Tamandua tetradactyla: one gene and its partners. The protein of the gene in region 2 binds, or shares a complex with, the protein of the main gene of each other region. Links are inferred from orthologs where the notes say so. Each region holds a gene or a part of one and is shown on either strand. Other genes may lie near its edges. The genes, in order: STK24, PPP2CA, STRIP1 and STRIP2.

What was found.
Region 1: PPP2CA (region 2) and STK24 share a complex: the UniProt entries of both Homo sapiens proteins name them as parts of the core of STRIPAK complex. The link is inferred for Tamandua tetradactyla from reciprocal best matches to the Homo sapiens genes PPP2CA and STK24.
Region 3: the proteins of PPP2CA (region 2) and STRIP1 are in contact, whole or in part, in a cryo-EM structure (PDB 7K36), measured with the Homo sapiens proteins. The link is inferred for Tamandua tetradactyla from reciprocal best matches to the Homo sapiens genes PPP2CA and STRIP1. Residues at the interface, in NP_002706.1 of Homo sapiens: Thr40, Glu42, Ser43, Asn44, Ser171, Pro172, Ser173, Ile174, Asp175, Thr176, Asp178, His179, Arg181, Ala182, Leu183, Asp184, Arg185, Leu186, Gln187, Glu192, Gly193, Pro194, Gly208, Trp209, Gly210, Ile211, Tyr218, Ile224, Thr227, Phe228; in NP_149079.2 of Homo sapiens: Gly421, Leu422, Pro426, Phe436, Lys443, Phe444, Pro460, Arg461, Pro462, Ile463, Glu465, Ser466, Thr469, Leu470, His473, Arg726, Lys730, Met733, Ser737, Tyr740, Gln741, His745, Arg746, Leu747, Asn748, Asp749, Trp751, Ala752, Tyr753.
Region 4: PPP2CA (region 2) and STRIP2 share a complex: the UniProt entries of both Homo sapiens proteins name them as parts of the core of STRIPAK complex. The link is inferred for Tamandua tetradactyla from reciprocal best matches to the Homo sapiens genes PPP2CA and STRIP2.

The regions. Positions count from the first base shown.
Region 1 is NC_135330.1:167,460,588-167,468,383, forward strand, and holds the start of STK24 (serine/threonine-protein kinase 24), read right to left. Parts: upstream 3,032-7,796; 5' UTR 2,644-3,031; coding exon 2,602-2,643; intron 1-2,601. UniProt on the Homo sapiens protein: Serine/threonine-protein kinase that acts on both serine and threonine residues and promotes apoptosis in response to stress stimuli and caspase activation.
Region 2 is NC_135346.1:13,268,795-13,275,834, reverse strand, and holds the start of PPP2CA (serine/threonine-protein phosphatase 2A catalytic subunit alpha isoform), read left to right. Parts: upstream 1-3,967; 5' UTR 3,968-4,329; coding exon 4,330-4,431; intron 4,432-7,040. UniProt on the Homo sapiens protein: Catalytic subunit of protein phosphatase 2A (PP2A), a serine/threonine phosphatase involved in the regulation of a wide variety of enzymes, signal transduction pathways, and cellular events.
Region 3 is NC_135337.1:12,888,816-12,896,915, reverse strand, and holds the start of STRIP1 (striatin-interacting protein 1), read left to right. Parts: upstream 1-5,053; 5' UTR 5,054-5,062; coding exon 5,063-5,242; intron 5,243-7,785; coding exon 7,786-7,855; intron 7,856-8,100. UniProt on the Homo sapiens protein: Plays a role in the regulation of cell morphology and cytoskeletal organization. Required in the cortical actin filament dynamics and cell shape. Part of the striatin-interacting phosphatase and kinase (STRIPAK) complexes.
Region 4 is NC_135327.1:170,910,164-170,918,060, forward strand, and holds the start of STRIP2 (striatin-interacting protein 2), read left to right. Parts: upstream 1-4,893; 5' UTR 4,894-4,940; coding exon 4,941-5,087; intron 5,088-7,897. UniProt on the Homo sapiens protein: Plays a role in the regulation of cell morphology and cytoskeletal organization. Required in the control of cell shape. Calmodulin-binding scaffolding protein which is the center of the striatin-interacting phosphatase and kinase (STRIPAK) complexes.

The DNA of each region.
Region 1 (7,796 bases), on a different chromosome or scaffold from region 2:
GTGAATAGAGGAAATTTTCTATCCCAAATGGCACACTCAAAAACAGTTATACTAAGATTTATAGAGGTATTTAAGTACAGAAATGACTGTGACATAAAGCCATTTTCTAAAACTGTAACTGCTGAAAACCTGGTCAGCTTTCTTGCTAAGAAAAATTTATAAGCTCTTTCACTGAGAAAGCAAAGTAAAAAAGTTCCCTTGTAATACCACCTAGGAAATACACTTTATTTTGGAGGCAAGGTGATTAAAGGAAATCTACTGTCTTTTCCCAAGATTTTCAAATTTTGGCCCACTCCCTTAAAAAAAAAAAAAAAGAGGGCAAAACAGACAAACAAACCACTGAGACCAGATACCAAAGAGTGACCATCTGATACAGACTTCTTAGTGCAGGTCACTGGAGCTTTAAATACCTTTTCACACCGACTCACTTTCCACAAAGGTGAATTCTAAGTGAGGCATTTGTGCTAGATTACAAACTGATTAACACAATATAAAAGTCAGTCTAGAGGAAATATTCATAAAATGTATTTTTTAAAGCATTACAGGAGGTCCTTCTTGTTTTACTGGTAAGAAACTTTTTTCTCACCAACTTCATTCTGTCTCCAAATAAAAACCAAGCAGAGCTTTATGTTCAAAATCCCATCTGATAACATTAGGAATGCTTTCAATGCCATATCCTACTCCACCCCACCCTCAATGAGTATTTATATACATTTATATCATCCTTACCCCATTCCCAGAGGAAAAAAAGGTCCTTCTTAGTCAAGGCCAAACCAGTTTCCAGCAGCTCCCCTTGCCTGAGTCCTGCTTCAAAAATCCCTGAATCTCATGGTAGTAGTTATATGACTAAATATATATATACATATATATTTGCGAAAACTTATTGAACAATACACTTATAATGGGTGACTTTTATTGCATGTAAATTCTACTTAAATAAAACTGCTAAAATTAAAAAAAAAATCCCATCTGATTTTTACAAAGCAAAAATAAGCACAGCATTACGTTTTAAATACAATAAAAGAACTTTAAATGAGATTCAAGGACAGACTTTCTTCAAGCATCTTCCTAGTCACAGGCTTAAAACAAAACATTAACTGTTACTCCTTTTAAAAAAAAAAAAAAGTCGGTCTAAAATTACAGCCGCCACTAAAGTAGTAACTTTGAGTTCCTATTTTTCTAGAATTGAAACCTCAACGATGAAACCCAGTCTTTTTTGTTTTGTTTTGTTTAATGTTTTAAAAAAAAAGTCTCTTTGGGGAGGGGGGGAAGATGCCTGGCTCATAATAGAAGAGGTCTGTCTACACTGGGCTTTTCAACCCGCAAGGAGAAGAGAAGAGAAAATTACTCCACTGATATCTACATGATAATAATCCACTTGGATACTTCTGGTTATTCTTAAAGCTCTTATGTTCACTTGCTTGAGAGAGCAAAACTTTAGACATATCCTAACTGATTTTAATCCTAATAGTTTTGCTACCACCATTTGTGCATTTACAAAAATTACAAGTTAGCGAAGGAGAGTGGTTTTCTTTTTTCCAAAAGGCTAACAGTGAAAAACTTTAATGAATTAGTACAGATTTGAAACTCAATCCCCCCAATAAAAGTCAGTGGTAGGCCATGATGCCACAAAGTACCCACGGAGACACTTCTTGGGAAACAACTACTCTAAGCCCAGTAAAGCCTTAAAGGAAAAGTCCGGTATCCCGGCATCAGGTAGGAAAAGCCTGGATTGGGTCGCCCGAGTGCACGCTGTACCGTTTCTTCTTCCTGGAGGTTTACCAGCTCGCACTCTTCCCTCAGAACAAAACGCTCGGAACAAATCTACTAGAGGTGGAACTAGCAGTTACACCTTCCTCGACACCCGCCCTCGCTCCTTCCACCCGGGCTGGGCCGCCGCGGGCCAGGACCAGTCCGCGCGCGCTCTCGGCTCGCCTCCCAGTTCTTAAGTTTACCTCCCGCCCTCCAGAGAAGGCAGAAGACCCAGAAGAGAGGGGGAGGCGGGCGGGCGGGGGTCGGGAGCCTTGAGGGGCCCTTCCGCCCCAGGCCCGCATACAGGGCCCAGGGACTAAGCTGGGGCCTCCCAGGGCATTTCTTGGCATCGGCTCTCCCTGGGGATGCGGCCGACGCCTGCCCGGAGCTCAGGAAGGTGATGGGGGGAGAGGGAAACCGGGAAGGCGACCCAAGGCCGGTTCCGCCACATTCTTCCCTAACAACCGCGACTCCGGCCGGCGAAGGCCGCCTCCACCGTGGACCCCCGGCCAGACCCAGGCCGCGGTCCCTACGGCCCTTCCCCCCACGCCAAGAGGCAGGCTGCGGCGAGGGGCAAGGGCGCCCGGGATGGGAGGGGAGGACCCCGCCTGGCGCCCAGTCCCAGCCGCCCGAGCGGGCCGGGGCGCGTGTGCGCTCCGAGGGCTCTTTCCCCAGCCCCGGGCCGCGCGCGCGGAGCAGCGGGGAACACAGCGAGGGAGGCTCCGGCGCGCGACCCCGGAAGGGTGAGCGTGGGGGGGGGGGGGGGGGCTGTGTTTACACCGCCAAGTTGCCCGCTTCCGCCCGAGCCCCCGCATCCCGCCCCTCCCGCTGCCCGGGGCTCGTACCTACCTGCATACCGGGCAGGCCCGACTGCACTGGGGAGTGAGCCATGGCGGTCAGGACGGTCACTTCCTGGGACGGGACGGCAGGGCCGAAGCGGTCGGTGCGGGCGACCAGGCCCGCTGCCCGCACGCAGACCTCGAGCGACGGAGGCTACCGGGGAAGCCCGAGTCCAGCTTCGTCGGGGCCGGCCGGATCCCGAGCCCACCCTCTGCCCCGGCAGATCCCGGTCCGAGCGGCGGGGCTCAGCGGCGGGCGGCGGGCAGCGTCTCCATGCACGGTGCCGGGGAGGGGCTGCGCGGAGGCGCGTGGGGCGCGGAGCGTCGCCGCGAGTTGCAGCTGCTGCTTGGCTGGAGCCGGGGCGGCCTCGGCCCGCTTGCGCTGGCGGCCTGGGAGCGGGAGTCCGGGAGCACAACCCGCCGAGCCCGCCAGCCCCGAGTGCGCCCCGCCCGGCTGCAGCTGCGCGGCCCGCCCCGGCCCGGCCCCCGCGCCCGCCCCCGAGGCCCGGCCTGGGACCCCGCCCCGCGTTTCCGGGAGGGGGAGGAGGCTCGGCGGCCGCCCGGGCGCCTTAGTCCGCAGCCGCGAGAGTCGCCGCCTACCGGGGTCGGGTGCTGCCCGGGCCCAGCCGATTGGCTGGAGGTGGGCCGGCGGCCCGAACCTTTCCGAGGGCTCTTCCCCCGCCACTACCCCTTCCTAGTCGGCAGGGAGGGGAAGAGGAAGGGAAGGCGGGTGCTGGGAGCCGAGGGAGCCTCACTTGGGGCGGGCGCTGGGCGTGGGGAGGAGGCGACGGAGTTCGGAACCGGGGATTGGCCACGTGCCCACCGCCACCGGCCGGAGACCCGATCCCGCGCAAAGGAGAGCCTGTGCCGCGAGGGAGTGGTTTGCAACAACTCTTACTCCACCATCTTCGTCCGGCCCTCGAAGCCCTCCTCCTCTTCATCTGGCCCCGGGGAAATGGGTCTCCGCCGACCTCCCCGAGGGCAGGGTTTGGGTCAGGGGAAACTTAGATTGGGAGAGTGACCCGAGGGGCCTCAGCCTGTGACCTATTAAAAAATTCGAGGGCGGAGCTTCTTCGGTGTCTGGGTGAAACTTCAACAACCCAAGGAGGAAACCGAGAAGGGAGAGGCCAAGAGAGCCGGTAATTCCTGGTGATTTCACTACTGAAAACAGCTCGTTTTGGGATTCTAGGCGCTGTGAATTTAGCGAAGAAGTGAGGAGGTTGAACCCCACATTCCCTGGGCTCTGGACCAAGGCGGGAGCGTCTGCCTACGAGAAGGGAAAAATAGGATGGGGAGGGGCAAGGAGGAAGAGAAGACAATCCCTGGAAGGAAACCGTGTCTAGACATTTACACACACGCGCACACACACACACACACACACACACACACACACACACACACCGCTAGCTCCTGTCTTTCGACTGCCTGTGAAAGTCTCAGGCCTACTGAGCGCCAGTTCTGCCTCCACCTTTTAGCCGCCTCCACCCCAATTACATTGGAAAAATAAGGATGGAATGAGTCAGTGCTGCCTCCAAAAAGCATTTCATTTGCAATGCTTAGAGTGGCAGCCACTGAAAGGATCTGCGCGTCATTCAGAATTACTGCACCGCAGGTCTCAGGGACCCTGCACTTCCCTGACAGCCGTGAGTGCCCCCGTTTTGAGACTTCACTGTGCGAGGTTGGGCATGCTAATGAGCTCCCAAGAGTTCACAGGCTGTTGGAATAGACCCTAAATACGCAAGTCCTCTCCTGTGGTAAGGAGTGTTGAGTCTCTGAGGTGTCACTGTACTCCAAGGACTTCAGTTTTCTCGCGTTCTCTGGATCAGACAGGGCGTGGGACGCTAAAACTTCATCCCCGCCTACCTTTTGGAAATATACATACTTTTCTTCCGGATTCTTTGATACACGTTCAGATACCTTCACCGTGGTCACTAGTATGCTTCGTTGTACCTCCAGCCCTGCTTCCTTAAGTACTCTGAAGACAATGTGGGAAATACAAGGTTAAGCAAAGCTAGAACCCTAATACCCAGGAGACTACAATCTTGTGTAAATTTACTATACTGGAAAAACAGGTATAGAAAGAGATGAATGGCAAAATGGGTAAGAACGTGAATCTTAAATTTGTTCATACTCTTCAATCTAGGAATCTTACCAACAGGAACATCTCCTAAGGAGATAACTAAGAAGTGCGCACGAATGTATATTAAAAACTCAGTTCAGAGTACCATCAGGAGTTAGAAATAGGGTAAGATAATGCGTAATTGGAGCTGAAGGGATACAGACTGTGCAACAGGACCGGATACCAAAGCTCAAAAATGGACAGCACAATACTACCTAATTGTAATGTAATTATGTTAAAACACTGAATGAAGCTGCATCTGAGCTATAGTTTTTATATATATATATATTTTTTGTATTTTGTATTTTTATTTTTTTCTCTATATTATCATTTTATTTTTTTCTGTTGTCTTGCTATTTCTTTTTCTAAATCGATGCAAATGTACTAAGAAATGATGATCATACATCTATGTGATGATATTAAGAATTACTGATTGCATATGTAGAATGGAATGATTTCTAAATGTTGTGTTAGTTAATTTTTTTTTATTAATAAAAAAAAAAAATACTCAGTTCAGGGTGGGCCGCAGTGGCTCAGCAGGCAGAGTTCTCGCTGCCTTGCCAGAGACCCAGGTTCGATTCCCGGTGCCTGCCTGTGCAAAAAAAGAATCAATGATATTTATAATAGCAAGAAAAGTAGGACTAGCTTGAAAGTCTAACAGATTGTTAAATGATAGTATTTCATACAGTGGGATATTATATATTCATTAAAAATGTTTGACAATATTTAGTAATATGGAAAATATTTTCATTATATATAAAGAAAATACACAAAACAATATGTATAGTCTAATCTCAGGCTACTTCGTGTATGTGTGTGTGTGTTTGTAACTAGAAAACATTTGGAAAGTATAACATCAAGATTTAACAGTTATCACAGAACTTATGGAAGTGAGGGATAAAGTAGAAAAGATGGAAAAAACAATGGATACCTACAATGATAGATTTAAAGAGACAGAAGATAGAATTAGTGATTTGGAGAATGGAACATCTGAATTCCAAAAAGAAACAGAAACTATCGGGAAAAGAATGGAAAAATTTGAACAGGGTATCAGGGAACTCAAGGACAATATGAGCCGCACAAATATACGTGTTGTGGGTGTCCCAGAAGGAGAAGAGAAGGGAAAAGGAGGAGAAAAACTAATGGAAGAAATTATCACTGAAAATTTCCCAACTCTTATGAAAGACCTAAAATTACAGATCCAAGAAGTGCAGCGCACCCCAAAGAGATTAGACCCAAATAGGCGTTCTCCAAGACACTTACTAGTTAGAATGTCAGAGGTCAAAGAGAAAGAGAGGATCTTGAAAGCAGCAAGAGAAAAACAATCCATCACATACAAGGGAAACCCAATAAGACTATGTGTAGATTTCTCAGCAGAAACCATGGAAGCTAGAAGACAGTGGGATGGTATATTTAAATTACTAAAAGAGAAAAACTGTCAACAAAGACTCCTATATCCAGCAAAATTGCCCTTCAAAAATGAGGGAGAAATTAAAACATTCTCAGACAAAAAGTCACTGAGAGAATTTGTGACCAAGAGACCAGCTCTGCAAGAAATACTAAAGGGAGCACTAGAGTCAGATACGAAAAGACAGAAGAGAGAGGTATGGAGTAAAGTGTAGAAAGAAGGAAAATCAGATATGATATATATATAATACAAAAGGCAAAATGTTAGAGGAAAATATTATCCAAACAGTAATAACACTAAATGTTAATGGACTGAATTCCCCAATCAAAAGACATAGATTGGCAGAATGGATTGAAAAACAGGATCCTTCTATATGCTGTCTACAGGAAACACATCTTAGACCCAAAGATAAACATAGGTTGAAAGTGAAAGGTTGGGAAAAGATATTTCATGCAAATAACAACCAGAAAAGAGCAGGAGTGGCTATACTAATATCCAACAAATTAGACTTCAAATGTAAAACAGTTAAAAGAGACAAAGAAGGACACTATATACTAATAAAAGGAACAATTAAACAAGAAGACATAACAATCATAAATATTTATGCACCGAACCAGAATGCCCCAAAATACGTGAGGAATACACTGCAAACACTGAAAAGGGAAATAGACTCTTATACCATAATAGTTGGAGACTTCAATTCACCACTCTCATCAATGAACAGAACATCTAGACAGAGGATCAATAAAGAAATAGAGAATCTGAATATTACTATAAATGAGCTAGCCTTAACAGACATTTATAGGACATTACATCCCACAACAGCAGGATACACCTTTTTCTCAAGTGCTCATGGATCATTCTCAAGGATAGACCATATGCTGGGTCACAAAGCAAGTCTTAACAAATTTAAAAAGATTGAAATCATACACAACACTTTCTCGGATCATAAAGGAATGAAGTTGGAAATCAATAATAGGCGGAGTGCCAGAAAATTCACAAATACGTGGAGGCTCAACAACACACTCCTAAACAACGACTGGGTCAAAGAAGAAATTGCTAGAGAAATTAGCAAATACCTTGAGGCGAATGAAAATGAAAACACAACATATCAAAACTTATGGGACGCAGCAAAGGCAGTGCTAAGAGGGAAATTTATTGCCCTAAATGCCTATATCAGAAAAGAAGAAAAGGCAAAAATGCAGGAATTAACTGTCCACTTGGAAGAACTGGAGAAAGAACAGCAAACTAACCCCAAAGCAAGCAAAAGGAAAGAAATAACAAAGATTAGAGCAGAAATAAATGAAATTGAAAACAATAGAGAAAATCAATAAGACCAGAAGTTGGTTCTATGAGAAAATCAATAAGATTGATGGGCCCTTAGCAAGATTGACAAAAAGATTTAACAGTTATTCCTGGAATTAAAGGTGATCTTTTTCTCTTTTCTTGTCTTTACTTCCTACAACGAACATTTATATTAAAAGTTTTGAAGTGAAATTGCAATATGATAGCATATGCCAAATGCTGTTGAATAAAAAGTTTTTTTATTCTTAATATTTTCTTATACATTTAGTTTCTTAAACATCTGTCTTCACCTGTAAGTTTCATAACCTCTTAAGAAAAACTTCAGAAAATATTTTAGAGCAGAGGTTTACAATCAAATAAATTCAGTATATTA
Region 2 (7,040 bases):
TGGGAGTCAAGTCTCACATAGACGGGGGAGGGCAGTGAGTTTGCTTGTTGTGTTAGCTGCAGAGAGAGGCCACATCTGAGCAACAAAAGAGGTTCTCTCGGGGGGGGGGGGGGGGGGTGACTCTTAGGGTTAATTTTAAGTAGGTGTGACCTATCCTTTGTGGGGTTAAGTTTCATATGAACAAATCCCAAGACTGGGGGCTCAGCCTATTGCTTTGATTGTCCCCACTGCTTGTGAGAATATATGATAGGATTTTTCATAAGCTGCAGAACTGGTGACAGTATTTTTATGGTTTACCCAGCCTACTGAAGTAGTGAACTTCACCTTTCATTTCTGAGTTTTTTTTTTTCTGGAACAGATAAAAATATTTCCGTGTAATTCTGACTGGTATTTGGATGTCATAGGCATCACCAGGGGATATGGTCATATTTCTCTCTCTCTCTTTCTTCAAGCCAAACTTCAGTAGCTAGGGGAAAGGGCTGTATTATATCTTTGTCAAATTTCCTCACACAAAATTTTGACCACATTTATTAAATTCTAAATCCAGTTGAAAGGGCAACATCAACTTACTTTTTCTTGAAAACCACAAAGGAGAGAAATAGGAATAGATAGTAATGCATTACAGCATTGTTGTGAACGTTGAATGCAGGAATCTTCTGACAGTTGGGCAGGCACACATGGCCAGAGCTTGCCTGGTTTCTTACGATCAGGGCCACTAAGATGTGGATTGTTCAGATCTTTATTTGGAGCTTCTGGAGCTTGGAAGGGTTTGGTGCAAAGGGCATTTTATCCTTTTAAGATATAACACACTTTTCTGATATAAGATTCGGAGACTGACCAACTGTATTAATTCTTGGATTTACTCTCAAATGACTTCCTATATACAACAAGCCTTCTCAATGTCTGCTTGATGGTGTTCCTTTTTGTTTCATCTCCACCTCTCCTTCCTTCAATCTCCTCCCCCATCCCTACTTTGTCTCTACTTGGCGTGTTTTTGATATCCTTTCATTCTGTTTCCAAAGACCACTAAGTATTTCATTATGTAGAAGGCAGGCAATGAGAGGCTCCAGCTGACATTAAAAGGTATTTAGAATTACAGACCACTTGGAAATAATAATAATATCTAGGGTATTTATGATACACCCCCTAACCCTTACAGTTTCATTTAATTCTCAGAACAGCACTTTTATTTGGCAATTACAACTATTTTGATTTTATAGATGAGAAAACTGAGACACAGAAAAGTTAAGTGACTTGCCAAAGGTCGCCCTGCTAAGAAGTTGCAGAACCAGAATTCAATCCTAGGTTCACTGGACTCCAGAGCCATTGCTTACCTATACTGCTCTACTTTGTGTCTCAGTAAGTACAGAGGTCAGGGAGCTGGACCAACAACAACAAAATAGGCCTAAGTTAAGGCCAAGAGAATTCTTTCTCTATGTTTAATGTCAATTTTTATATCTTAGCTAAGCCTGCCTGTTACACAGTCATTTGCTCAAGGTTATCCTCCCCCTACCCTGCCCCCGTCATCAGATGGTTTTTATTTATAGCCATGTTTAAACATCAGAGGCAACATTCAGACTCTCTGTATACTGAATTTGTTATCTGAGCAAAGATTGTTCCTCAAACCATATTTGCTTTATTTGTTCTCTGCTTTTTTGCCAAGAAATTAAAAGGACAATTCTTTTTGGTTTGCTTTAAAATTTTTGTTTCAAATAGTCCTCATTTCTAGAACTGAGTCAGTGAAGTCAAATCAGTCAAGTTCAAACTAGTCAAACTGAATTTTCAGATCCATCAGTTACTTTGAGTCCCACAGAGTTAAGAATATTCCAGATTTCTTCTAAAGGAAAAAATATTCTGAATAATTTAGTTTTGTACTGTTTATAATCATGTATGCTTTACTTCACTACATGAATACTAATGAGAGCTTCCTAAAATTCATTCCTTAAGAAGTTAAGTCATGGCATCTAATTATTTGGCAGGATGTCTTAAGTACATATAATTACATCTTCCCTCCACTTTATGGTGTTGGTGAGCCAAGAGATCTGCATCAAGAGAAAAGAACACCTACATTTATGCTATCAACAAGGATTTCAAAGTACTTTAGAAAAATCCACTCATAATCTTAGCACAAGGTAGGTGCTTAACATTTGTCTAATCTACCAAACTAACACCACCCTCACCTTTCTAGGTAAGAGAACTGCAGACAAAGGGAAACTGGATGGACCCTGTTCCATATTTCAGCCCTTGGAAGATCAGCTGAGCGAATGTGGACAACACCCTGCACTTGGGAGTATGAAGTTTCACATCTCGATCACTACCTGGGGCAAGTTCCTTTTCTGAGTGGCTGCCTGCTTCTTGCCGATCAGACAGGATCAGTTCTCACAGAGAAAGAGAGCAGTGATGAGGGATCTGATGAGACAGCACGCTGGGCATGGCTTTTAATCATGGGCACGGGTGATTTTTTTCCTTATTCATTCCACCTGGTCTTAAGTGACTATTTTTGGAGGATGTTAACTGCAAAATAGGGTCAGAATTTGGTCTAAAAAGGCTTTTCCCCAGTCTGGTAAGTATGTGATAAGCTTTCTGCAGAGATTCAAGGGACTCTTTTGGGTGCAGTAGTGGGAGGCATGACAGGAAAGCAGAATTGCAATTCCCAGCCTGGGATGGCCAAGCCAGTTAGCCTTGCCAAACACTGTCTTGGATGAAGGATTTTCAGTCCCACCTTTGGCTAATCCGGGACTCCAAGGCCTTCTTCCCAGGCTGTCGGTCGGGATGCCCTTTGAGCTGAGAGCGCTCTCCCCCGGTACAAGGCGCCGTGCTCGCGTGGGGCCTGGCTGTGTTGGGGGCAGGGGGCCTAGAAGATAGGAGACGGCTGCCCTTTCTGGCTACGTGTCCTTTGCAAAGCTTCTACCTCTCAGATTCTGGGGGCATCATAAGCCCTCTTCTGTCTCTCCTCAAGCCATTTTAAGCCGGTACTGCTGGGAAAATGCACGCTCCATCCGGGCAGCGTCCCTTGACTGTTTGAATGACCCCTCTCTCCGCAGGGTTGGTTATCTGGCACATAGTGGGCACTCTCCAAGGCCAAATATTTCTGTAAATTCTGGGACATCGGAATGTGAACACGTTTCGCAAACCTCACAGAGATTCACAATCAGACTGGGGTCCCGTCTTAGGGTATCCGGGCTTTCTGAAAAGCGAGGATCATCGCCGCGTCTGTCACCATCCGGAAGCGGTCGGAACCGACGCGTCCATCCCCGCGGCCTCCCACTCTGGGAAACAGCAAGGGCGAGCGGGAAAACTGGGATCGGAGGAAGGCGGACAATTGGGGCGAAAGGCCACGCGGGGTGTGTCCAAGTCCCGGGCAGAAGCCCAAGCCTTGGCCCCGCCACCACGCCTGACGAGACACCCAGGCCCGGGGACAGGTGTGTGCTAGGGCACTCGGGTGCACTGGGCGGCACTCCCCCAGCAGGTACACCTTCTTCCGCCTACGAGTGACCCAATTACCAGCTGCCGGCCGCGCCCAGAGTCTGGTTCACTCCAACCAGGTTGCATCTCAGCCCGGTCCCTGGCCCCACAGATACGGGAATTCCACGCAATTCCCGCGCTGTTGCAGCATGGAGGGGCCAGCGGAGTGGTCGCAATTTCCTTTCCGTGATCTGCCCGCCAGTTCCCAAGGAAACCGCTGAGGCGTATTACCAAGCCGATCTCGGCAAGAGAAAACTCAGGCAGCTCTGGAGTCCCCCCTCCCACACGGACTGCGCCTGCGCCGAACTCGGCGCCGGCGCCTCGCGGGGCGTAGACCTCGGGAAAATGCCCTGCTCGCCTCTGCAAACACTGCGCTCGCTCAGACTCGGTTCTTCCCCGCCTCCCCGAACTCCATCCCACTCCCACCCTCTCTGAGAGGCCACGCCCTAAAAGCGAAGGTGCCTCACTTATCAGCCGGCGACTTTGCGCCTGCGCCTTGGTTCCTAGTTACCGTCACACTGGGCTTTTGCGGTCAGCCAGCGTCCGATTTGCAGTTGCGCAGCTCGGGTCCCAGCCCTTTTCCCCTTCGTACCTCGCCGCGTCTGACGCCGGGCGTGACGTCACCACGCCGGGCAGCCGCCATTACAGAGAACCGAGCCCCGGCGCTAGAGCGAGAAGGGGAGGAGGCGTAGCGGCCAGTGACCGACAGTGCGGAAAGAGCCGGCAGACCAGCTTTAGGGTCGAGCAACCGCACACAGCCCCAGTAATATCCCGGGAACCGGCGGCAGTGTGTGCGGTTGGCCCGTGTGCGGGCTGTGGCGCGGGAGTAGCGCGGAGGGGCAGCCGGTTCGGGCGGGTGGCATCATGGACGAGAAGGTGTTCACCAAGGAACTGGACCAGTGGATCGAGCAGCTGAACGAGTGCAAGCAGCTGTCGGAGTCCCAGGTCAAGAGCCTCTGCGAGAAGGTAAGCTGGGCTTCAGCTTCGGGAACCGCCGCGGGGTGAGCCCACGGAGGAGGCGGCCGCCGGGAGGGGGCAACATGGCGGAGGCAGCCGTCCCGGGCCCCCAGCTCCTCCCAGACCGGCTCCCGGCGCGGCCCGGCGGCGGCTCCGGAGGACCCGGCGCCCCCTGTCTCCCGCCCAAGGATTGGTCGCCGCCGCCGCTTAAAATGGCGCCGTTCGCCAGAAACTAGGGGTTCTGAGCCTCTTGGCCTTGGAGCCGGACCACAGTAGCTGGGGGAGCGGAGACCCTGTGTGTCGAGGTCTTGGACGATTTTAAGGTCCGGGTAGAGGGACTTGGGTATGGCGGCCTGGGAATGGGGCCTGGGCCTCTACTGTGAGGTGGTTAAGGAGTATTTTACTTGTACTTAAGCTTAATTCTCAGGTGCTGTGCTGTCCACAGAATCCCCAAAGGCAAGCTTGTCGGCCAGATCTAGGACCTTAAAGATCACAGGGCTTTAGTACCATCCCAGGTTGTTTGGATTACATTCACCAAATGGTGTTCTCCAGACACTTATTTAAAGTGCATTTTTAAGAAATTTTAAATCTGTAACCTAATTTATACCAAGGTCAAAGTGATAATTATGGGGAGGAGTATAAAATACTTCTTTACAGTTGGAAGAAAGGAAGACTTTGGTGAGTCACACTGCATAAGGAGCTTTTGGATTGGAAATCAGGTTCGGTTTAATCTGTGATTTATATGCTGACTCAAATTGGGTTGTGTGAAACCCTTCTCTAAGTTTAACATACTTGGCATTTTGCCATTTTTAAAATGAGCAATAAACTGGAAGAGCGGCAGGTTTTGAATTGTGGCTCTTTGTTGAAAAAGTTAATTCGATTTTATTTTTTTAGTGCTAGTAGTAGTAATAATAATAGCTGCGGATTGAATCTTAACTGTGTTCTCAACACATCTTGGAATTTAGATAATTTCAAAGACGTTGAAAATGGGTTGGGTGTAGTCCACTTAATAACGCTAAACTTTGTAGTTTATATTATCTAGTTGTTTTATTTGTCCTTAGGGATTGGGGAAACGGTTTGCCTAATTGTACGCGTGTTAGCTGTGTGTATTTTTAAAAGTCTTGTAACTCCGTTTTCTTAAGTTTAGAAAAGGATCACCACTTTGAATAGTTTAAACTTCCCTTTTCAGAATTAACTTTGCAGCATTTCATTTTAGTACAGAATTGTGGAATGTCATATTAGCATTTTGTATTAGTGAAAAGTTATTAGAGAGCTGTTATGCTGACTCATTAGTGGTTTGATGTGAAAATTAGGATCATGAGTTTAATGTATATGCTCCCACGACAGACTTTCTCAGAACCCATGTTGTGAATAATTGGAATTTAAGCGAATCAAATTTAGTTTATTCCAAGCCTGAACAAAGCACTGCTAGTTAGAGGTGGCACATCATCTGTTGGAGCTTTATTTTAATGGTTAGCAGTGTACTGAATATTTTGTTGCTTTTTGACTCATTTCTTTTATGTCACATAAGGTTGGTATTTGTTTAAAAGGTTTGAAATAGGCTTTCAAAAATTATTTAATGTATATTGCCCTGTCTTAATTTCTGAGTAATATAATGATTTTACTGACTTTAGGGGTTTGGTACTAACTCTTTGCAAGTCAATATTGGACTAGATGACTAGTTATTCCTGTAGAAAACATTGGAAGAGAGGTAATGATGATATAATCTGAAGACCACCCAACTGCAAGTTAGACTTGGACCCAAAAGTCCGGTTTCTGTTACTGAGTGAGTAGTTGAGACTGACCTTGGGACAACCGCTTCAGTTGGTCTTCATTTACCTGTCTATGAAATACTTAGAACAGGCATTCTAAAATCCCTTTTAATTTCCTGCGACTTTACAATTCTGTTTTATATAGTACTTTGTATTTAAGTATTGAACATCTCTTGGGTATCCACAATTGCTTACTCTTTTGAGGGGAATCAAAACAGTGAAAAATAATCATTCCTATTCTCAGGGAGCTTTGAATCTAGTTGGAGAGACAACTGTGGTGTGGGAATCAGTAAGGAGATGTACCATGGAAATTGAGGGTTTGTGTTGGAGACATGGAAGATAAAACTGGATGGCTGAGGTAGGGTGAGGGAAGCTTGATGGATTTGCTAAATGTTGTTTTCCATATCTTTATAAAACTAAGGTACCAGTGAAGTAAGCTTGTTTTCAAGTCTCCTTTGATCAGTTAGCTTGTCCACATTTTAGTTTTGAAAGCGAAAAGGATGAAAATAATATTTGAAGTGTTACATAAATGTTTCCATGGAATGACTCTTTGTGGGGGTGGAGGTGGGGGCTCTCATCACCTAGCCTTTGTGCTGTTTTTAGCTTGTAAATATTTCAACTTTTGAAACTATATCAACTTTACAAGGTAATTAATTTGAAGGCAGCTTTTTAGGTATGTGGGATGAGTTAGGATGCATAGCTTGAAATGGTTTTATACAGCATTTCTACTAAAACAAAAAATCTCTTTTACTGAAAATTTTTTTTTGCATTGGCAGGCTCCGGGAATCGAACCTGGGTCTCTGGCATGGCAGAAGAGAATTCTGCCAGTGAGCCACCGTTGCCCAC
Region 3 (8,100 bases), on a different chromosome or scaffold from region 2:
GCAATTATAAATTGGTTAGAAATGGAGCTTTCAAATAAGTAAAATATGAAGGATAATGGAAGTCAAGTTTCTCATTTTCGGAGAGGATGCAACAAATTAAAAACGGAAGAAACTAGAATGAACTCGGTGGTATTGGATTTGAATTGGAGATATTGGTGTAAACCTGTGAATTTCAACATAAGTAAATATGGAAAGGCAGAGTGAGTGTATGCTTGTATGTGTGTGTATGTGCAAACATTTCCTAGCTCTGCTTACTGAGTAAGTCTCGGTGTAGTAGTTCCCTCTTTCCCCTAAGACGAATTGTTCTGGATTGTAGGCCAGAAGATACTTGTCACTGGATCCCAGGGCCTTTTCCCCTCTTCCTGCTATCCTGTAGTATAATTTTCCATTGCAGCCACCAGATGGCGAGTTTTCACCTGTTACCTGGTTGCCAGGGTCTCTGGCCAACAAATGATAAAATCTAAGTTCACAATCCCTTCCTCCAAAACCCTTAGGTTTTGAAACTGAAAATTTTTCAGATTTTTAGGTAATCGACGAATATACTGCAGATTGTGTAATACCTATTAGAGGGCTGCGACACAGCACCCATAAACATGTTAATATTTCTGTAGCAAAACTTATGAATATTCACAGCACAAGGGATAAATAAAGACTATTAATGGACTCCCATAATTCAGATTAGGGTTTGCTGCCAAATTAATTTGTGCCAAGCTTGAGAAAAAGCACTTGATTTTTTTAGAGTTGTTTTGAATTTTGGAATTTGGATAAAGGCTTACAACCCTGGAATAATGATCGTAAAGTGTATAATGTTTGCTGTGTATCTACGCTTCATCCTCAATGTGTTACACAATTAGCATATTTGAGCTTTACAGTAACCCCATAGATAAGGTTTTTTACATCCTCTTACAGATGGAGAAGTTGAGATGATGCAGTTGAGCAACTTGCTCAAAGGTAGCAGATGCTAAAGACATCTGCATCCCAGCCCAGATTCACTTTGGGATTAAAAAATCTCAGCAAACTGATAAAACATCTCTATAAATTACATGGGAAATAGTTTGTGATTTCTATTTAAAATTGTGGTACTGAGTTACTGAGTGATTTTTTTAATTTAATTTATTTTGTATTATCAAACCAAAACAACATACAAACATGAACATTCTTAACATACAAACATTCCATGTATGGTGTACAGTCAGTGGCTCACAATATCATCACATAATAGTATATTCATTACTGTCATCATTTTTTAGAACATTTGCATCACTCCAGAAAAAGAAATAAAAAGAAAAAACTCACACGTACCATACCCTGTACCCCTCCCTCTCATTGACCACTAGTATTTCCATCTACTCAATAGATTTTAACTTTTGTTCCCCCTATTGTTTATTTTTAATCCGTATTTATTCATCTGTCCATATCATAGACAAAAGGAGCATCAGATACAAGGTTTTCACAGTCAACAGTCGCATTGCAAAAGCTATGTCATTATACATCGTCAAGAAACATGGCTACTAGGACATAGCTCTACAGTTTCAGGCACTTCCCTCTAACCTCTCTAATACACCTTAAACTAAAAAGGGGATATCTATAAAATGTGTAAGAATAACCTCCAGAATAACCTCTCAACTCTGTTTGAAACCTCTCAGCCACTGACACTTTCTTTTGTCTGATTTCTCTCTTCCCCCTTTCGGTGGAGACGGTTTTCTCAGCCACTTGATGCTGAGTTCCAGCTTATTCTTGGATTTCTGTCCCATGTTGCCAAGGAGGTTTACACCCCTGGGGGGCATGTCCCACATCGAGAAGGGGAGGGCAGTGAGTTTGCTTGCTGCATTGGCTGAGAGAGATAGGCCACATCTGAGCAACAAAAAAGGTTTTCTGGGGGTGATTCTTAGGCCTAATTTTTCCCCCTATTACATATTTATTTTTAATCCATATTTTTTACTCATCTATCCATACTATAGATAAAAGGAGCATCAGAACAAGGTTTTCACAATTACACAGTCACTTGCGAAAGCTATATCATACAATCATCTTAAAGAAACATGGCTACTGGAACAAAGCTCTACAGTTTCAGGCATTTCCCTCTAGCCTCTCTAATACACCTTAAACTAAAAAGGGGATATCTGTATAATGCGTAAGAATAACCTCCAAGATAACCTCTCAACTCTATTTGAAACTCGCAGCCACTGACATTTAATTTTTTCTCATCTCTCTTACTCCTTTCAGTGGAGAAGTTTTTCTCAATCCCTTGATGCTGAGTCCCAGTTCATTCTAGGATACCTATCCCATGTTGCCAGGGAGGTTTACACCACTGGAAGTCATGTCCCACGTACAGAGGGGGAATCTTATGCCTAATTTTAAGTAGGCTTAGTCTTTCCTTTGCGGGGATACGTTTCATATAAACAAACCCCAAGACTGAAGGCTCGCCCTATTGATTTGGTTGTTCCCACTGCTTGCAAGAGTATCAGGAATTCTCCAAATGGGGAAGTTGAATTTTCCCCCTTTCTCACCATTCCCACAAGGAGACTTTGCAAATACCTTTTATTCGTTGTAACCGAGTGATTTAGACTTGCAATTTTAAGTTGCTGGAACTGGAATTAACCCAGGGGGTCTGGCCTCAGAATCAATGCTCTTGACACTAAGCAATACCACTGTTAAGAAACAGCCCCAGTTCAGTTCAACTTGTGGCAAACAAGGTTTTGGTACGCATACCAAGGTAACGTGAAGCTTGTTAAAAATACACATTCCTGGACCCTATCCCAGGCCTACTAAAACTAACTCTCAGGGCCATAAGGAGACAAAGATTCTGAAAATCAAATATCTCTTCAGAGTCACATCACAGTTGATGAAGTAGAGCCAGGATTTGACCCATAGTCTTTCTGGCTCCCAGATCCCATCCCTGTCCCTCCACTGACCTGCCTCCCTTTGGCCTTCTAGGCAGCTTCTCATTTCAGGCACACTTCTCATACCTTAGCAAAGTTTCTCTCAGCATCAGAAACTTGCCACAGGCATCCAAAACTCAAACCGCAGGTCCCAAGCCTTTCCTAACTCTTCCTGAACGCAGACATTGATAACCTGCAGAAACTGAGCTCTGCTTCCAGAAGCCAGAGCCAAACTGGGTCAAAAATATCCACACTTAGGGCACCAGTAGTCCACTGATAAGCCCTTGGGCTCTTGGGCTCTTGACTTGGTTGCTCTTAAATCACAAAATGACTCATCTTCATTATTGATTCTATTATTTCAGTGCATGAAAAACAAAAGGCCCATTCTCTTCAATGATTCTCTTGCCTTTGTATATCTATCTGGGAAAATTACTTCTGAAGGGCAACTGAGAAGTGTTTTCTAGTCCGGGAGCAGATGAGGAGTCTGGATAAATTTGAGGTAGCACACTGCTCTCCAGGTCAGCTGAACAGACCCCTCTGAAAAGCATTGACTTGCTGCTTGCTTTCATGCAAATTTGTCAACTGAGGGGATAGGTTTGAGTCTTGTTTTTGTGCATGTGTTTTTGTTTTTTAAGCAAAGCCTGCTTTAGCTCAAGTTTAATGGGGAGATTTAATGAGGAGGGAACTGTCTTTCTCTCACATACGGTGGGTAGCAAACCAGCACTTGCGGCTTTTTCCTGTCTGAGCTGTGGGTTTGCTATTATCCAGTAAACAAGCTCTTTTGCTTTTCTAATTTTCTTCTCAAAATCAAACCATGGACTATAGTTAATAGTACAATTATAAAATTGGGCTCTTATCAGTTGTAACAAATGTATCACACTAATGAAAGATGTTAATAATAAGGTGACTTGTGGAACCCTGTACTTTATGCATGATTTTTCTGAAAACCCACCACTTTTCTCTAATAAAAAAATAAATGAACAATATGAAAATACCACTACATGATATGAAAATGAATATGCTGCAACCCCTATCATTTAACCTTATATATCATTTGAATCTGTCCCATCACCTCCTTCCTCACCCCAAGTCAAGCCTTGGGATGAGCCAGCAGCCCTGGAACATCATCAGAATTGAGCCAGTGGCTTCCAGCTAAGTCATCTCCAGGTTCACCACCCACAGAAACTGATATAATAAATGTTTTTTGTTTTAAACCTTTAGGTTTTAGGATAATTTGTTACACAGAAATAGAAACGAGTGCAGGTACGTTTGGATACCGTGGTGCCCTGTACACGCAGCTTTCCCATTCATGGCTGATGCACTCATCCCTCAGCCAGGTTTCCCCTGGCTGGCTCAATTTTAGCTGCAAAGACCTCAGGGCTCTGCACTTAGCTGGTCATTCTGCCAGTGTCACCTCCACCCATCTTTGCATGGCTCTCTCCCTCACTCCTTTCAGGACTCAACAAAATTGGCCTCCTTATGCCTGCCTGCCTTGTCCAAGCAACCGAAAATAGTCAAACCTCTGCCCTCACCCCCCATCACTTTCTAATCCCTTACGCTTCTTTGTTTCTCCACAGCACGTATGTCTCTAATTATGTATGTACTTGTTGTTTGTCCTACCCTTTTAGACATTATGAATATACTATGTGTTGAGGAACTTGACATGTTGCCCATTCTATTCGACTGCCTGGAGCATAGGAGGTGTTCATTAAATATTTGCCGAATGAATGATTAGTACTTTCAAAATTTTTATTAATTTGTTTAGTGGCTGTCTCCCCCATGTAAATGTACATTCCGTGAAGACTAGAAGCTTGTCCAGCTTGTCTACGGCGGCTATATCCGCAATGTCTTTAACAGGGCTGTAACAGTGACAAGTGCAAAGTACCATTGAGTGAAGGAGGCGACAACTAAATTGAAATTTCTAAGGAAGTCCTCACAGATAAAATGTCATCCAAACTATCGGGACTGGAAAGAGAGCGGAAACTAAAATTGGAGAAAAGGGAAGAAGTACAAACATTTCAGACACAGGCAATCACGGGAGCTTATTGAGCAGCCAAGATGGCTTCCAGCACACGCTGCCACACTTAATATGGCGACCAGGGAGATTCCCTGACAGAAATCACGCGAGAGTTGCATCACGGCGACTCGGAGAATTGAGCCGGGGGTGTGGAGCAACCAAGATGGAGCCGGCAGCTGGCGGCCCGAGCCCGCTCATCGTGAACAACAAGCAGCCTCAGCCGCCGCCACCGCCGCCGCCGGCATCCGCTCAACCTCCACCCGGGGCACCGCGAGCCGGCGGGAGCCTTCTGCCCGGGGGCAAAGCCCGAGAGTTCAACCGCAACCAACGCAAAGACTCGGAGGTCAGGATATCAGGGGGGCGAGGTGGGCACTGGGCGCGCGGCGGCGGGGATCCGAAGTGGATCCCTTCACAGGGTCCACACTGGGCTTCCTAGAGGGAGTCGGCACGGCCGGGCCTGGGAGCTGTCATTTTAAAGCGAGAGGGGCGGGAAGCAAGACTGGTGTCTCCCGGGCCAGGGGTGTGAAGTCGGGGTCCCCGCCCGGAGCCCCGCCGCCCCGGAGGACTGTCCGGAGCTGGGTGACGGCTCGTGTGCTCCTCTGGGACCGGAACTGTGGGGGCGGCCTCGGGGCCACAACCGCTGGGAAAGCCGCCCTCTGGCCCAGTGCGGTGGGAAGAGTCATTGGTCTGCGTGCGCTCCCGGGGGCCGGGGCGGCTGGACCCCAAACCCCCTAATCTCTGAGCCTCTGGCCTCGGCCCCGGGCTCGCGGGCTCGGGCTTGTGGCTCCCGCAGCGCGCTGTGGACGGCATGTGTGGGCAGAGGAGGAACTGGCGAGGGTTTAGAAGGCACTTTGAAGCCGGACGGAGCTAATTATCATTAATGATACTGTGCGCCCAGAGGTTGCGAGGGTAGGAGGGGAGAATCGCCCGGTTCCCTCTGATGCTGTGCTGGTGTTTGGTGGTTGCTATGTCCCGTGTGCCTAAAGCTGAAATATTAAAAATCCGAAATGCACATTTTAAACATGTGTTAGAGCTCAACATCCCCTTCTCTCTTGCTAGAGGGCTGTTCTTCCGTTCTGGAGCTGACTATTCACCTCTCCCCAAGTTAAAGAATTCCTCCCACTGCTTCCTTTTGTGGAATTCATGAATGAAGACACATACATCGCAGAATTTTAGGGTTTCTTAATTAGCACGTTTCCAGAACACTTACTATGAGTCTCCTTCACCTGAGATAACTCCAAGGCTGGTTGATCATCAGTCATGCACTTACTGGGAAGGAATTCCTTTTTGTCAAGAATGTACTGGGTCATACCACCCAGTGATACTGTCTTTACACCTGTGAAATCAGTTCTTCTCAAACTTTTATTTTGTTTTTTGTTTGTTTGTTTGTTTGTTGGCAAGCCCAACACACATTGTAAAACATGTCAAAATATGGCAACTATAAAGTTTATGTGCCCTGAGCTTGAAGTGAATTATTTGATAAAAGGAATGAAGTCAACTTTTCAGGAGCCCTAAATAACATGATGGGGTGATGGGACAACAATGGTGAATTCTTCCTTTATTGTTATTATTTTTTCCTCCAGTGGTGAGTTCTTACTACCCTTTGAAGTAAGGAGGGTTATGAAAATGATAGGGGTGAACCCACCTTCATTTTGAGAGAAGATATAGTTTAAAAAGAGTTTTACATTTTAAGTACTTATGAATAATAGTTAATGCATTTTAATTTCCCTTTATGCCCTTTAATTAGCGCAGGGAAGGGCAGTCAAATGGATTCGTTTAAATTGAGAGAAGTCTAAGTTCATTTTCTTAGTAGATGCTGCTGCTGCTGCTCTCTGCTCTTTCTTTAGTCATAGTTGAAATCAATAGACTGGGAGCCTGAGCAGAGTGAATGCTTGGAGGGCAGGGAGGCTGACACTTGATGAGAGCCCACTGTGTGCTACATAATTTTGATTACTCCTTAAAATCAACAAGGTAGATTTTTGTCCTCCCCATTCCATGTGTTAGGAAACCGAAGCTTGGTTTGTAAAAGTGTACACTGTGTTGCCTCTGAATGGGCCAAATAAGTAAAGTTCTTTTAGTTGCCCTGTGTTTGTGGGTCTGCTCTCATAGCATACCATGGATGGTCTTTGTCTTCTCAAGTAGATTACGATTCAGACTAAAACATAACCTATTGCTTCGCTTCCTCTTTCGCCCCAATACAAGAACAAAGAGTGTGTTCTCAGTAATCATCTGCCCCAGCAGTAAAAATATTATCTTTGTCGCGTTGTCCCATGTGTGGGAGGGAAGCCGTTCTCTGCCACTGCTGCCTTCTCCAGTCCTTCAGTTCTCATTGAAATTTGAGAGAGGGGCAGGAAAGCTGAAGGGCTTTCAATACCCACTTTGTCTTGAGCAGTTAATAGTCCACTAGCTAGAAAGAAATGAGGCTTCTGGAATCTTCGCACCATCTGGCTTGGTCATTCACTACACAAAATACAGAGAAGCATTGTATTCATTCATTCAACAAGTATTTGAGCTTAAACTGTTCATTCACTCATTCATGCCAGGTACTGTGCTGGGCATTCTGAAATCATCGGTGAGCAAATTGGATAACATTCCTATTTTCAAGGAACTTGCAGTTTCGTGGAAAGATAGATACTACACAAATATAAATGCCAATATATAATTCGAAGTTATGTTAAGTGCTCTGAAGGAAAAGTATAAGATATTCAGAGAGGATTTAATAGGGAAAACTGAGCTGGCCCAGGAGACAAAATATTGTGATAAAACAACAAAAAAGTGGGGCAGTGATATCCTGTAACACAATGGTGAGTCTGGAAGCATGTTTGTTTTTTCCTTTGGAAAACTTTTTGAATGTTCTTTTGCATAGGCTCTCTTGTATCTCAACAGGGCTATTCCGAGTCACCAGACCTCGAGTTTGAGTATGCTGACACAGACAAGTGGGCTGCAGAGCTCTCTGGTAAAGCATAGATCATTGTGTTGTTTTGGGGATGAGGGAAGTGTGTTTTTTTTCTTATTGATCTTTAAGAATATGAATATTGTTTTGAAATTAATTTTTTTCTCAATCCAATTAGTGATGTGTATTAAAAATATTATTTGGTTCAAGCCTTGAGTATCTCATGACTTTAGATTGTCCTTCACTTTTTTGAAGCCTCTGTGTAGTCAACTCATTGACCAGAACCCATCGTAATGTGGGACAGTTAG
Region 4 (7,897 bases), on a different chromosome or scaffold from region 2:
TTAGCAAAAGATTTGGATCTTTTGTACCTCATCTTATATGCAGAGCAGATTCAATTAGGCAAAAATATGGATTCTAGTCTATAATGTTCTTAGGCCAAAAATCTTAACACGTTGTTCTCAGCAAAGCCTGAATCTGTGGAGCTCAGCATGTGCTAAACCTTACAGAGTATACTATGCCCTGTTAGAGTGAAGAGGCCCATTTCAAACAAAAAGAGAGCCATGCTGGGGACTTAAGTGAGATTGCTAGTGTTGCTGCCCATGGTGAGGTATTTGCCTTTGAGAATCAGAAGATTTCTCTTTCTCTTTCTGGGAACCCTGTTTCATCACCCATAGAAAAAAAAGGCCTAGGCCTACTCCTGAGAATTTGGGCTTACCCTTAGTGTTGGAATCTGGTCATTATTCCCTTTACCCTTGGAATCAGAACAAATATGTCATCTTCTCTACAAGTTCTCACTTTAGATGCATCCTAGGTCTGGAAATATGGGAAAGAGAGGTAATTATCTCTATGTGTGTGGCCCTGGCCTGTGGGGATACATTCCATTTTCCCTACAATGAATTTGTGCTACTTTCCAAGATCTTTTTTTTTAAATCTTATTAATTGAAATATTGTTTTCTTTTTCTCATTAAAAAAAATTGTATCTGATACAACTTTTCTTTGCCCTCCCACCTCCCCATCCTACCGTTCCATATGAGCACGGCTTCCCATGGCCATATACTCCTGCAAAGCTTTTCTGCTGCTTGGCTTTTCTCTGAACAGATCTGAAATTGCTGCTCCTGTGGTTTTCTGAAAATTAGCTTTGTCACAGTTTAAAAAAAAGAAATTAAAATGCATTGTCGCATTAAGCTTTTTTAACAGGAAAATTACGGAAAGAAAATAGGCAACACCAGCAAATTATATGTGGTCAAGTTCTGAACTATACATACATATATATGTATATCTCAAAAAATAATCATCTAATTCTTACTGTCATCTTATTGAAAGGAAATAAGACCTCTGAGGTATGTCATTTCTGAGAGGCTCTTGGAAATCTGTATGTCTGAGTGATTGTATTAGATCAGCAATAATGACTATGTAATCTCAAAGACAAATAAAATATTCCTAAAATGCATTCTTGTCTTGAGAGTATTCCTTACTTCTGTGATCTAGGAATTCCACAAAGATGGGAGTTGCCTCTGGGCAACACACTAGAGAGACTGTTGTGGGGTGAGGATGTGAAAAGGTGAGGCAGTTACAAATAAGTATGTTTGAATGTACTTAGTCTTGAGACCCTTATTCCATGGGATGGAGTCACTCCACTAATATACCTTATCCCCCTTACCTGGTGTGTGTGTAGAAAACCTGCTTTCTTAGAACCCTTATCATGTGCTGTGAAGTTGAGAAGTGTAGGCTTAAGGCAGGGATGCAAAAGCCTGGCTTTAAGTCCCCCAAGCCCAATGTGTGTTGCCCTTGGCTGAAGAACACAAGAAGTCAGTATCCCCACCGCTTGAGGCCAAAGGACCCTGACACCTAGGATCTGATTACATCCAACCAATAGGAAGAAAAAAGTGAATCAGGTAAAAGTTTATCTCTTTAAATTAGAGACATAGAAATTTGGGTGCTTTGGGTCCTTGTTTCAGGCTTGCTGCGCTAGTTTCTCAAAAGAGCTTGGGCTTTGAATTAGACTAACTTGGATTTGAAGTTGTATGACATGGCCAAATTATGTAACCATTTGGAGTCTCAGTTTTCTTGCCTTCAAAATGGATAGTGCTTATCTGCTAGGGCAAGGATTTAACTATCTGATTTATAAAAATGCTGTTTACAGAGCCTGGCACACATCATATACTGCATAAACATCAATTCCCTGCCTCAGTCTGGGGCCTACAGCATCCATTGCCTCATTATACCCACATGCGCCGTTCATGGGGGGAGGAGAATGTTTTATGCTTTTTCTATTAATCCTAGCTGCCATATATACTCACAAACTAGGTTCTTTAAGACTTCTTACACCCTGTTTTTAAGCTTTCTCAGTGCCAGGTATTGTCGCTTTAATCAAGTATATGACCTCCATGGGTTAAAGTGCTTATATGGAGCACTGGTGCTGTAACTATTTTTATCTCCAACCCTCTGTCAGGCTTAGAATACCTGAGTTTGGGGACAAGGGAAATTGGTAGGGTAGGCCCATCTGCTTTCAAAATAACAGTCCTGGATCCATCTCTAAGATGAAAGAACTTGTAGACTAGCCTCTGAGTAGTTCCCAAGTATGTTTATGAATGACTCTGTGATCAATGGTATTGATGATCGTCACTCCTTTGTTGAAAAATAAGCTAAAAAAAATTGAGTGTGTGCCAATTCCATGGTTTCAAAGTTTTCATTTAATATCTGGTTTCTTATTACTTCTTCCATGGGTTGTTTCTCGATGTCTTCCTCCTTATGACAACTCTGAAAGTCTGGGCCTATAATGAACAGGTAGATGTCTGATCTGTCTCCCATTCCACTGGGGTGTAGAAACGGTAATGGATTAAGGTCTTTCTTCATATCGATTCTTTACAATTTCCATAGAACCAATTTTTCAATTCCCTTTTCCAGGAGTGAAGCCAGATGGAGCTCTAGGTTCAACAATTAGCTTTAAATAGAGGCCAAAGGGGACTTGAGGGCTGTCTTCAATCTTATTCTCAATTGATGATCAGTCTCCTCCCTTTGTCCAAGATAGGCAGGAAAAGGAACAAAGCCTCAAAAGTGGTGACTCCCATCTATTACCTCTGCTGGGAATCCTGCTGGTTGGCTAGGCTCACAAAAGAGAATATGAAGTTCTGGGCCTGTCAATCCTAGAGCTCTGGCTGCTAGAAGGAAAGGTACTGGGAAGACGGAAGTGTAGAATGATTAATTCTTTGTATTAAGAAGCCCCCATTGGCTGTGCTGTGACAGGTTTATGACACTTAAGCAGTAATGAGCTAGGCATGGGTTATAAATTTTAAAGAAGAGCGTGAATTCTTAAGAGTTTAACAAATTATACCCACTAAAAAATTCCAAACTCAAATAGCTTAGGTCTTGAGCCAGGGACTTTCTTAAAAATTCATATTAGTTCAGTTCTGTTAAAAGAGTGGATCTTAACCCAGGAAGATTTTGTCCCTTCCCCAACCCCCTCCAGGGGACATGTGGCAAGGTCTGGAGACATTTTTGATTGTCACAACTCGGTGGTGGGGGGAACGGTGCTACTGGTATCTAGTGAATAGAGGCCAGTATTCTCCGAAACATTCTACAAGGCACAGAACAGTCCCTAACAGCAAAGTATAATCTAGCCCAAAATGTCAATAGTACGAAAGTTGAAAAACCCTCTGATAAACCTGTAAAAATGAGGCATACAAAAATGAGCAAGACTCTCAAGGAGCTTATATCCAGGTGGAGGGCAGAGTGGGAGAAGAAATGAAAACTGTGTGGGTACAGTAAGGAGACATTTGAGAGCAGGGAGAGAAGGGAACCCAGATAGATCCAAGGAGTGCAACACAACCTCCATCCCCCCTCCCCCCACCGACTCTGCCTTGATCTGTCATTTACTGACTAAACCAAGGGAAGAGTCGGGCAGAGACACATTTAAGAAGGGGACAAAGTTGTCCCTAAGATGTGGGAATAGGGGGTAATTCCTTTGGGCCACTTGTTTAGGGGATATTGTGGAAAATGTAAGGGTTTGGGATCATAGTTTCACACGAATGCTTCCAGGAGGGTCAAGAGGAAGGCTTCCTGGAGGAGGAGGTGGTGAGAACTAAATAGAATCTTTAAGGAAGAATTTATCAGTCAAGAGAACAGGAAGTTTCCTTTAGACAGAAAGAACAGCATATGCAGACACTGAGACGAGATAGAACACAACAGCTTGGAAACAGTGAGGGTTATTGAGTCCTGGTTTCCTCATAAATACAGTGGATTAGTGAAATCAACCCATCAGAGAGTATGATAACCTGGTCTCAGGAAAGTGATTACTGCAATGTCAGACCAGTGTCAGCTCAACCACCACCACCACACCACACCCAAATCCCTTCCTAAAGCTATCCTCATGTTGCTTGTTTGGGGACTTCTATTACCAACAACACAGACTGCCCTAGTTATTTACTATAAGCTGGTTTTTACATAAATTCCTGGGAGGGTAGACCACATAGCCTCATTTGCCTCAGGTAACACCGAAACTTTAGGAAGGATCTTAGAAAGGAAAGGACTGGGGAGCAGAGTGGGGGTGACAGCTTGCTCTCCAATATTTACTGCCTAGTTCACACCATGAAGAAGGCGCCCTACAAGAACAGAGAAAGCTGACCAGGGCATCCAACAATTTCGGTGACCTGAAAACGTCACCCCACCCTCCAACCCCTTATCTGCCAGCCAACCCTTCACTCCGGACGGGATGCGTTCGCTTCAGAAATCTCAGCTCCAGAGGGCGAAGTCCGAGTCCCTTGTTCTCTGGGGAGTCCCTCGCCACCCCTGGTGCCCTCCCTCCACTGCGACTGAAAGGGGATTTGGTAAGTGTGGAGGAGGTGTGGAGAGGGCAGAAGTCTGTGAAAATGGGGAAGCAGAGACAGCAGTGGAGCAAGAGGCGAAGACTACGGCTCCCCTCAAAATGTACCTGCTTGAGGCAGAATGAGGGTTGAAGGACACCTAGAGAGAAGCAGAGATAACTAAGGTTAAGACCCAGAACTCGCGAGGGGGTACCGTGAGCCAACCCAGGAGTCTTTGGCTACCAGCAACGCGGCACGACTTAAAAAATAAGATAAAATTTTTAAAAACCTTATATGTACCCCCTACCTGCTCCAAGTCCTGCTCGGAAAGGCCGAAGGGCCAATCGGGCCGCAGGGCGGGGCTGCGAGGAGCAGCCGTAGCCAATAGCTGCGGAGGGGGCGGGGCCGGGCTCCCGGCGCGCGGCTGCTGGGTCGCCCAGGGCAGAGGCAGCGGAGACACCGACTGGGATCCTAACCTCATGGAGGACCCAGCGGCCGCCGGGGCCGGGAGCCAGCCCGCCAATGGCAACGGCAACGGCAACGGCAACGGCAACGGCGGCGGCAAAGGGAAACCGGCGGCGCCTAAGGGCCGGGAAGCATTCAGAAACCAGCGGCGGGAGTCGGAGGTGAGGAGCCAGAACCTTGGCTGGGGCCGGGAGACGCCCGCGGGCTGGAAGCCGAGGCTGAGGTGGTTCCTCAGCGTCCCCTCCCCCGCCCGAGACCACGGCGTGTCCCGGGCCGCTCCTGGAGCCGGTGTCTCCAGAGTCCACTAGAGTTTGCACGCCTAGCGCTGCACCCCAACCCTTCACCGCAGGTCTCCCGCCGCGCACTGGGGGCTTTTTACCCCTCAGGCCTTTCCCGTGGAGGCGCAAAAATGTAGGGCGGTGTGGTGTGGTCCCGATGCTTTTCAAATATTATCTCATTTAATCGTTTCAGCCCCTTGTAGTAGGAGTTCGGGTCCCCATCCTGCAGAGGAGGAAACAGGCGCGGGGAGGTTAAGATACTGGCCTGAGGGTTGGAGGCCAGAGCTCAACCTCAGAAAAGCCTCTGAAATGAAGGGTCGGCGGGGTGGGGCAGCCCTCCCGCCCCAAGGCTACCTGTCGCGTGTCCCTGAGCCGATCCAGATTTGCGGTGTGTGCTCTGGTCTTCCCCTTCCATTTGTGTGTTATTTGGCCCTTTAGGGAGTGCCTTCCACAGCCTTGAGGAACCCTACCTTAGAAAGGACTTTGATAGGAGCAGTGAAAGAAGTGGATGTTTGGATAGAACTGTCCTAATATACAAACATAGCTAGGAGTATGAATGTTTGGGTCTCTTCCTTTTCTCCTAAAAAAGAAATCCTAACCAAGAGGATGAGAGGAGTGCATTCTGTTCAATCCCCCCACACCTCCAGCCTGCCAGTTTCCATCAAATAGCCTAGAATAGAATTGGATCTGAGCATGGATCAGAATAATAAAACCACAAAATGCCAGCTGTGGAAGGGTCTCTAGTCTAGCCCTCTCATTTTACACACATGAAAGAGACAGAAGTAACTTGCCAAAGATCATACGTACACCTGGCGTAGTGGCCAAGAGCACCAGCTTTGGGGTCGTTAGATGAGGATTTGAAGCCATGTTCAGTCCATGGCTTGCCATATGAATTGTATTTTTCAGTTTATAGAGTGATTTCAGGGATGCTTTTCATTGTGATAAAGGCAGAGTAGGAATCTTTCCAATTGTTTTAAAGATACAAGTGGAAGAAGTGAAGAGACTGACCCAAAGTCACACCACCTTTCAGAGGCAGAGCTAGGTTGAACCCTAATCCTTCTGCCTTGCTAGGTCAATGTTCCATCCACCACATCATCTGTCTCCCTGCCTCAGTAAGAACCTGGCCTCTTAGGGCACTCTGTGCCTTCCTCACACCACAGAGATATTTTTCTTATTCAGATGTGTTTTTTGGGTGGATGAGTCATTTATTAATTCAACAACTAGCTATTGTATCCTTTCTGTCAGGCATTGTTTTAAGTGCTAGGTATACATCAGTGAACAGGACTTTGCCCTTGTGGAGCTAATGTTCTAATGGGGAAAGTCAGATAATTTTTGCATGTAAATAAATAATCAAAATAATTTCGGAGTAATATGTGCTAAGAAGGGAATTAAAACAATCCCTGTCCAAAACTCCCTTCTGAAGGAGGAGGTCTGTTCCCCACTCTCAAGTCTTCCTTCAGCAAAATGGTCTCTGCATTCGGAGACTAAGACCTTTCCATCCTTCACCGCAGTTTACCTCCTAACTCTCTGCAACTGCACTTTTCTTTCCTGGAAACTAACAACTGCAGTGATCATCTCTATCTGGGCTCACTGCCTGCCAAAATACTAGCTGGAAAATTAGCTTGCTTCCACCTTCCTCTGCAGCAGGAGATCACTTTTACCCATCAGTACATTCCCTATCCCCCCAGCACCAGGTTCCAGACTCAAATGGCTAGCTCCTTTCCCCACCCTCTCTCCTTTTGCTTTCATGAAGCACAGTCCTCAGGGGAGATAGCTTTCCTTCCTCTCTTGGACTTAGAGAATGACTAGAAGAGAATTACTGTTGGAACAAATCAAGGGAGCATCCTTGAATATCACCTTGTTTATGTGGGCATCGTTGACTTCCCCTCTCTCAATAGCTTAATGTACGAACATCCCAACCTAAAAAGGAAGCTAGAGAATAATTGCTTGCCTAATGAAAAGATTCTTAACATAGCAAAGGGGTTCATCTCTTGCCTCTTTAAGCCAGATTCCCCTGGTCTCTTTATTCCCAATGTTCTTGACAAAATTTTAACTGGTCTGTGGCAAAATGAGGAGAATTCGGAGCAGGGAATCGAGTTTCTCATAAAATGCAGTTCAGTATATCTAATTTAAAGGGTGTATACAGTATATTTCATTTAAAAGCAGTGTTTTTCAAACTGGAGGGCAACCTGTGAGTTGGGACCAGCATTTTCTTTTTTAAGAAACAGAATTAAAAATATCAGAGTACATCACAAATATTAAGGGTAAAGATTATTTTGTTAAACTTTTGGTCCAGTTTTATATGTGTGTGTGTGTATGTGTGTGTGTGTGTGTTGGGACATTTGTAAGTGTGTTTGTACTTTTAATAGCTTTCTTCTGTTCTGAGATTATGTCCTTTCCAATTTTAGCATATTAAACTGTTCTTTCTTTTTTGAAGTGTTTTCTGAAAAAAGATTTGTAAGTCCCTACTTATTCAAACAAAATATCAATAACTCAGTGTCATTCCCACTATCAAACTTTCTGTTTTATAAAATTTCTACTGGAAATTTTTGGAAATCTTTGCTACAGTGGATTTAAACATGATTTGCCTTTTTGGCAGTGTAAATTGGTACAGTGTTTTTGAAAAACAGCTTATCATGTACAAAAAGCCATACAAATATTCATAGGATTAGATGCATTAATTCTTTTTATAA